Linked DNA regions of Canis lupus familiaris. The protein of the gene in region 1 purifies or fractionates together with the protein of each later gene. This does not show direct contact. Links are inferred from orthologs where the notes say so. Each region holds a gene or a part of one and is shown in the gene's direction. Other genes may lie near its edges. The genes, in order: CCT4 and TLE2.

Evidence for each region.
Region 2: the proteins of CCT4 (region 1) and TLE2 purify together in Homo sapiens (affinity purification with mass spectrometry; 3 studies listed by BioGRID and IntAct, with this or other methods). This does not show direct contact. The link is inferred for Canis lupus familiaris from reciprocal best matches to the Homo sapiens genes CCT4 and TLE2.

Annotation. Positions count from the first base shown.
Region 1 is NC_049231.1:63,162,940-63,167,355, reverse strand, and holds the start of CCT4 (T-complex protein 1 subunit delta), read left to right. Parts: upstream 1-1,424; 5' UTR 1,425-1,537; coding exon 1,538-1,664; intron 1,665-4,256; coding exon 4,257-4,309; intron 4,310-4,416. UniProt on the Homo sapiens protein: Component of the chaperonin-containing T-complex (TRiC), a molecular chaperone complex that assists the folding of actin, tubulin and other proteins upon ATP hydrolysis.
Region 2 is NC_049241.1:56,615,403-56,619,204, forward strand, and holds part of TLE2 (transducin-like enhancer protein 2), read left to right. Parts: intron 1-141; exon of another isoform or gene 142-182; coding exon 183-202; exon of another isoform or gene 203-385; intron 386-1,322; coding exon 1,323-1,430; intron 1,431-1,785; exon of another isoform or gene 1,786-2,262; intron 2,263-2,613; coding exon 2,614-2,658; intron 2,659-3,120; coding exon 3,121-3,270; intron 3,271-3,300; exon of another isoform or gene 3,301-3,475; intron 3,476-3,777; exon of another isoform or gene 3,778-3,802.

The DNA of each region.
Region 1 (4,416 bases):
CTCTCTCTCTCTCCCTGTGTCTCTCATGAATAAATAAATCTTTAAAAAAAAATTAGGAGAGTCTAGCCTTTAGAGATCATGAAATTTAATCTTACTATTATATAGGTGAGGGAAAGGAGACCCAGAGAACTAAAATGACTTGCCCAAAATCACATAGTTAACAAGTAGCAAAACAGAATTCAAGCCAGGATTTTGCACCCCAGATAAATGCTATATTCATTGTTGCACATCAGTTGTCTTAACAAGTAATTATAGGGTACTTATGAGCTACATCATAGAAGTCTGGTTCTTTCTGAAAGCGAAATCAGCTTGGTTTCCACTTGGGTCATGATCTCCCAGGTCATAAGATGGAGCCTCCTGCGGGCTCTGCACTCAGCAGGGCCTCTGCTAGAGATTCTCTCTCCCTCTGACCCTCCCTCTGCTCGCTCTCACACGCAGGCTCTAAAATAAATAAAGCTTTTCATTTTTTTATTACTTATTTTATTGTATTTATTTATTCATGAGAGACAGAGAGGCAGAGACACAGGCAGAGGGAGAGGCAGGCTCCCCACTGGGAGCCCAATGCAGGACTCGATCCCAGGACCGAAGCATCAGGACCTGAGCCAAAGGCGGACGCTCAACCACTGAGCCACCCAGGTAAAAACAAAAACATAAAAAATAAAAACAGCCAGCATCAAAGGCATGTGGACCAGAGAGCACTTGGGAAGGTTCACCTTCTAGGGCTAACCTCCTCAAGGTGTGTAAAAGCCCCGAGCGCTCACAGGGTTAAGGGCTTTTTGCAACAACCCGTCCTTGACCATATATCCCAGGCACCCCTGCCTTATGAACGTCCCTAATAAAAAGTGTTAACAGGAGCCCGGCGGTTTAACTCATGACCTGGGAGTCGTTGCTCTCCATGGAATATACGGTTTCAATCTACTTACAGGCTGACCCGGGGCTTGGTGTTTCGTTATCAGATCGGGGGGGGGGGGGGGGAGCGCCCACTTCATGGACTTATCGTGAAGGTTAAAGGACATACAAAGGCCCAAGGTCTTAGCCATGCCCCTGGCACAGAACAACTAAACGATTGTAACTGGACCGAAAGGCTTGGGCTCCCCGTGCGTGGCTCGGGCGCGTCGCGTTAACGGAAGGACCTCGCGGCCCGCGGAGGCCCGGGCAACGCGCGAGGTGGGTGCCCAACGCCCGCCTGTAAAATCGCGGGGTGTCCGGCCTGCCTCGCAGGGGACCCCCGCCTCCCCTTGCCCATCGCGCCTGCACCCCCGGGCCCTGCGGCCAGCACTCCCGGGACACAAAGCCCCCGCCCCGGCCCCGGCCCCGGCCCCCGGCGCGCGGCGGGCAGCCCTATACGTCACGTCGGCGCGACGCCGCCCGATAGGCCCCCTCCCCGCCTCCGCCTCCGCCTCCCCCTCCTCCCGGCGCCCGCGCCGCTTTCTGGAAGCTTCGTGAAGGCGGCGGGCGCGTTCCGTCCGTCGGCGGCCGGCAGGAATCCGGGTCCATCCGTCCCTCCCAGGCCCGCGCAGACCCCGCCGAGTTGGCCATGCCCGAGAACGCGGCTCCGCGGAGCGGGGCGCCCGCCGCAGCCGCCGGCGGCCGCAGCAAAACCGCCTACCAGGACCGCGACAAGCCGGCGCAGATCCGCTTCAGCAACATCTCCGCGGCCAAAGGTACCGCTCGCGGCGTCCGGCCCGAGGCCGTGCGGGCCGAGCTCTGCGCTCCGGCCCCGGACTTGGGTTGCCAAAGCGCCTCTTCTGTTTGCCGGGATGGTCCGCGGCGAGCTTTGCTGCGCTCTGTGGGGGTCGCCGGCGCCGCCCGGTCCAGGCCCGGGCCCTGACGCCCGCAGCCTTTCGCCCTCGGCGGTTCCTCGGGCTGCCGGAGACGGCGGGCCTGGGCACCTGCCGCGGCAGCGCTGTCGTCGGTTCCCCTGCGAGAACGTCTTTTGCAAAATGCAGTTTAGGTTTCAGGTGTTCTTACGAGGATACCACGTAAAGAAGCTCTCGGCTCAACTAATGGAAAGGGGGCTGGCGCCTCGGTTGGGCGGCGCCCTTTGTCTTGGGCTGTGAGGGAGGCCTCGCTGCCGGCTGGAGCTCCCGGGAAGCCCGCTGTGCTTTTCCGCCCAGTCTGCGTGTGCAGCCGGGCCCCGCCGGCCTGGAAGTGTGGACGGCGCGTTGGCGCTGTGTTGTTCTGCAGACTAGGTCGGAGTATGATGGAGATGAAGACCCGAGCTACCGTTCTCTGTGACCGTTGCTTCGTGGCTCTGTGACCTTCGACCTCTGGCGAACGTTTCCTCACCCCTAAAATTGGGAAGGTGTTCCCTCGCTTTTTTTTCTTTTTTTAAGATTTTTATTTTTATTTCATGAGGGACCGAGAGAGAGAGAGAAGGGCAGAGACACAGGCAGAGGGAGAAGCAGGCCCCATGCAGGGAGCCCGACGTGGGACTCGATCCCGGGACCCCGGGGTCACGCCCTGGGCCGAAGGCGGTGCTAAACCGCTGAGCCACCTGGGCTGCCCTTTTTTTTTCTTTTTTTTTTTTTTTTTTTTTTTTTTAAGAGTTGTGAGAATTAAGTATAGTTGATTTGAGACAGAAGAGTCTGGAAGGAAAAATGAGAACAAAGGCCTAGAGATCTTACCTGATGCTTATTGAGCCTTATAATCCAGTTTCATTACAGTTAGAGAATAAAGTGCATGAAGATGCGAGAAGTGAGATCGGGAGGGCAGGATGGAGCGAAATCCTTTGGAAGGGCCTGGTGAGCGGAGGTCGGGTGAATTATCTGTGAACATGACCTTTTCAGTGAGAACTCAGGGGCACAACTAATTTTTTCCAAATCAGACAAAACCTAGCCAACTTGGTCAAGAAAAGTTGCTTTCGTTTAGGTGTAGTTTTGGTTTAATTCAGGGAGCCAGTTTTTTATTTAAATGTTACCTCAAAATGGTGCTCCCCCCCCCCCATCTCCCCAAATTGATCATGTAAAAACCATATAGACACACAGGAAATACTAGTTCTGGTACTGTTCGGCATGCGTCCTGTAACAGACCCTACTGTGTGCCACACAGAATGGTAGCAATCAGACACCTTTGTAGATGTAAGCAGTCTAAAATCCTTCTTTATTTTTTGGTTAGGGTGCGTTGTCCTAACTTCATGTAGACGAATGTGAGGGCAATCTTAAAGTGAGTTGGTCTGCTTGTAGAACCTGGGCCATGTGGGTCCACTAAAATCGCCTGAAAGCATAATATTGCCTGGTTAATTAGGAATAGAAGCCCAAAATTATGAAATAATTAAGTGGAAAATAACTTTTAATTATAGCAAATACTTTCATTTTGTTAAGATCTTTATTATTTACACAATAAAGGGAGGGGAATAACTTTTAATTATAGCAAATACTTTCATTTTGTTAAGATCTTTATTATTTACACAATAAAGGGAGGGGGAGTATGATGCTGGTTGTGGAGTCTACAATGATTAGGGCACAATCTCAGCCCTGTGTATATTGAGTGAGGTGGTATCTTAGGAAGGGGAAGGCCTAATTATTTGTCCTGGGCTTCTCAAAAGGGGATTTGACTTGAGTGTTCATCAAATCTAATTTCCCTTAAGTGGACTAATAAACACTCTTAAGGAGCATTAATAAGAACATGTAACGTTGGAATGGTAGACTGTGTATCCGGAGGTGTTTTATAATGTACTGATGACTAAAACCTAAATTTTGGTTTGGGTAAAGGTTTGAGGTTTTTGTTTGTTTGAGCTTATTTGGTGGCAAGGTAGAAGGTGGCAAAGGATGTTTTACTGTGGACCATCTTTAGACGAGCTTCACATTGGTGGACAAAAAACTCTTTGCCTTCAAAGATTCAATCTATAATTAGGGGAGACAGTATAGTATATTAGGAAGTCTTGCCTCCCCTGTTGCTGCTTGTGTTCTTTTAAGGAATGGAGAAAAATACAGCCTTCATTCAGAGGTCATTGTGCTTATTTTGGTACTAGAGAAGGGTTAGGTAAATCCTCAAAATTGATTCTGCCGTAGGTAGGGCGCCAGTATTCTGTATAGTGACTTTAACAACAAAAGGTGAAGTGTCCTATAATCAAAAGTGTAAGAACAAATCAAAAAAGAATAAATCAGTTTCTAGTATATTCTTAATAAATAATGAATTTTCTCTAATGGACACAGTAAATGTGTATCATATCCTGATAAGGACAAATGATATGATCATTTGAGAAGAGAAACACTTTGCTTTAAGCATCTTGATTTTTTTCCCTCTGTTTACAGCTGTTGCTGATGCTATTAGAACAAGCCTTGGACCAAAAGGAATGGATAAAATGGTAAAAAGCTGAATTATGATTATGTATTAAAATCCTATTGTCCACACTGCAGAATCTCAATAAGGGTTAAGATGTGCTGCTTAAAAAGTGTTAGAAAGGTACTTTGA
Region 2 (3,802 bases), on another chromosome or scaffold:
CTGCCCGTCTCTGGACACCTGTCTCAATGTTCAGGGGAGGACGCGGGTGTAGGAAAGAGGAGGGAGGTTCTGAGCTGGGAAGGGGGCCCTATAAACTCCAGAGGGGTGCGCCCCTGGCACCACGAGCTACGGAACCCTCACCTTGTCTCCCCTCTCTCTTCGCCTCCCCTGCATCCTGCCAGTGGACAGAGCCCCAAGCAGGGTAAGTTGCAGGGCGCCCAGGAACTCGGGTGACATTCGCTTTGTACTCGCGGGTGGCTGGAGCCGGGGGTTCTGAGCTGATGGGGTCCTCAGAGCAAGACCCCGGGCAGCTCCTGGAGCCTTTTGCTGTGGGAGGTGCCCCTAAGGCTAGACTTCTTTTTATCAAAAGTTTGCCACCTTGAGCTTCTTTCTGCAATTGAATAAGTGAACGTGCAAGGAGTAGCCTCCACCCCCCCTTCCGTTCATCAACCGTCCGTCATCCAGCTGATGTTATCTATCAGAGCTGCTCTGTAGCCCTGTGTGTAATTTTTATTATTTCTAAATTGTTTTTCTTTTTTAAAAGATTTTATCTGGGATCCCTGGGTGGCGCAGCGGTTTGGCGCCTGCCTTTGGCCCAGGGCGCGATCCTGGAGACCCGGGATCAAATCCCACGTCGGGCTCCCGGTGCATGGAGCCTGCTTCTCCCTCTGCCTGTGTCTCTGCGTCTCTCTCTCTCTCTCTCTCTCTGTGTGTGTGTAACTATCATAAATAAATAAAAATTAAAAAAAATGTTAAAAAAAATCCTAAAAAAAAAAAAAGATTTTATCTATGTATTCACGAGAGACACAGAGAGAGGCAGAGACACAGGCAGTGGGAGAAGCAGGCTCCCTGCGGGGAGCCCGATGTGGGACTCGATCCTAGGACCCCAGGGTCATACAGATGGGGAGACTGAGTGCCAGGGAAGGAGCCGACTGCCTGAGGCCCACAGGCAGGTTGATGCTGCGGGAGGGGGATGCAGCTGACCCAGGCTTTGACCTTCGAAGGCCAGACCGTTGGCGCCTGTGGGCTGGCTTTGAGTCCTGTCTCAGCCCCTCCTTCACGGCACAGCCCTGCCTTCCCTTGGGCTCAGTTTCCCTGTCTGTATAATGGGATTAACCATCACCTCCCCCCACAAGCTTGCTGTGGGGGGTCAAGAACTGAGCATTGACTCTGCCCTCGGAAGGTCCCATTTCCCAGATGGGAAACTTGAGGCCCAGATCCCAATAACAGTGTTGGGGACCCTCGGGCTTGGCTGTGCCAGGATAGGGTCTGGGGCCTCGGGGCTCTGACCCTCTGTCCCATCTGGCCCTGTCTCTCTGCAGAGCGCATCCCCCTCACCCCCTGAGAGTGTGGTGGAAGAGGAGCGGCCCGGTGGCCCGGCCGGCAGCGGGAAGCAGCGCGCTGAGGACAAAGATCTGTCAGGACCTTATGTAAGTGGGGGGCAAGCAGAAGACTGGGGCAGGCCCCCAGCCCTGCTGTTCAGAGCCGACCAGAGCCGAGCTCTGGCCGTGACTCTCTCACTCCAGGGCCTTCCATAGCTCCCCTTTGCCCACGGAGCGCAGGGCAATCAGAAGACCCCTGCGGGCCGGGCCCAGCTCTAGTTGCTCTTGTGTCTGAAGCCCCTGGACCAGGCAGCGGGTGCCCCCCCTCCTGGATTTTGTTCCGGCCCGTGCAGCCCTCTGTGACTCCCCTTCCCCTGCCCCTCTAGGAGGCCCAGAATGCTCTGTCCTGCAGGAGGCTGGCCCTGGCCCCCCGCCCCCTCCAGGGCCGGGACCCCTCCCTCACTGTATGAGCCCCGCACCTGTAGTCTCTACCTCTGGCCCCCCCACCTCAGTGGAGGCTGGGGCTGTACCTGCGGGGGGAGCACTTGTTGCATCCGCAGGGCCAGCCTCACCCTGGTCCCGCTTGCCTGGCAGCCCCAGAGCCCGCAGGTCCTCCTCTGTTTCTCACAGATGCCTTTGCTCTTTAAGAATCGGAACAGTTTGTTCTATACACGTCAGCAACTCCTTTGGTTTTTAAAGAAGATAATTGGGGGTCGGTGGGGGGGGTGTCAGAGAAGCCCCTCCTGCTGGGAAGACGTGGGCTTCAGGCTGTACCTTCGGTCTTCCTGGCCTTTCTACTTGACACGGGGCAGCCCTGGACAACGCTGTTTCCCCCAAGGGCCGTGGGGGAGCCGCACAAGGAAGGAGAACTGATGTAGGGGCAGGCGTCAGGAGAAAATTCCTCTCGGGCAAGCTCGGAGGGCTGCCTGGAGGGGGCAAGCTGAAGGCCAGGAGCCTGAGGAAGGGCCAAGGCTATGGTTCTCCCCGCACTGCACAGAGCGGGGAAACTGAGACCTGGGGAGGGCCCCACAGCACGTCGTGGGCATGCAGCTCCACCCCCCTCACTTTTCTCCATAAGGGACTCCTGCCCCCTCCCCAACGCCCCCCTGGACCTGAGCAAATGGCAGCCTTTTTTCCGAACCAAGTACAGGGGCCTCTGGAGCCTCCAGAGCCCTGATCAGACCGGGGCTGGCCCTGTGTCCGCCCCCACTCCTGGGGATGAATAAGGGGATGTGGAGGCAGGGGCACGGCCACAGTAAGCTCTCTCCCTCTCCTCTGTGTCCCCCCCCAGGAGAGTGACGAAGACAAGAGTGACTACAACCTGGTGGTGGACGAGGTGAGTCGGGGTCCAGCCTCTGACTGCAGGGCCCAGAGGTCTGGGCACAGCGAGTGGCAGGTTTGGCAGAGTGTTGGGCGTGGAGGGAAGGGGGCGTCCTGGCCTCCTCTCGGTTCAGGGTGGCTGGGATGAGGGGACAGCCCGGGACAACCTCCCCTCCATAGCACAGGCCCTGAGAACCCTGGGGGGCGGGCAGTGGCTTCAAGCGCCCTCGCTGTGTGGTGGGGTGCTGTGCCCCCTCCCTGGCCTCACTGGCCCCCCAGTCAGGGGGGGACACCAAAAGCAAGCCCTGACGTAGACGTTGCCATGTGTGCTTATGGTGCAGGTACCCTCAATCCCATCAGACGGGGTGGATTGCAGGGGCCCAGCCTGGAGGGTGGGACGGGGTCTGGGGGGGTACAGGAATGGGCTCGCCCTCTTTACCCGCTTCCTCTCCACTTAACCTCACCTCCTCAAACCCAGGACCAGCCGTCGGAGCCCCCCAGCCCTGCCAGCACCCCGTGTGGAAAGGCCCCCATCTGCGTCCCTGCCCGTCGGGACCTCGTGGACAGTCCAGCCTCCTTGGCCTCAAGCCTCGGCTCGCCACTCCCCCGAGCCAAGGAGCTTGTCCTGGTAAGGAGTGGGGGAGGCCTGGAAACTCACTTCGTGCATCCTGGGGACCTGGAAACAGATGCTGACACCTGAGATGTGGAGGGGGGCGGAAACCGGCCCGGCCTGGGTGTCCAGAGGCTTGTCCTTCGTGGTTATTTGTCACCCTCCTAAAATCCGCCTCGACTTTGCCCAAGTACTTCTCCCGAGCGGACTGGCTCCGTCGGGCCTAAACACACACCAAATACATACACGTTCTCCATCTTCTGGGGAGACGGTTGCTTGCTTAAGTAGGGAGCCCCGGAAATAAGCCCAGTGACCATAGAATCCGGGCCCAGGGCTGACTCCCGCCCTGCAAGTGTTCCGGCCCCTGAGAGGCGCTGGAGGCGCAGCAGCCCCACCTGAGGTCCGGGCAGGAGGATTACTATGGGAACAACTTTCTCCGCGTAGGAAGCGCCCCGGCACCCACGCGGGGCTCCATCTGTCCCGCCCCCTCCCCCAAATCTTCCCGAGGCCCAGCCCGGCACTTACCCACTTACCGGGAGAGGGAGAGGGA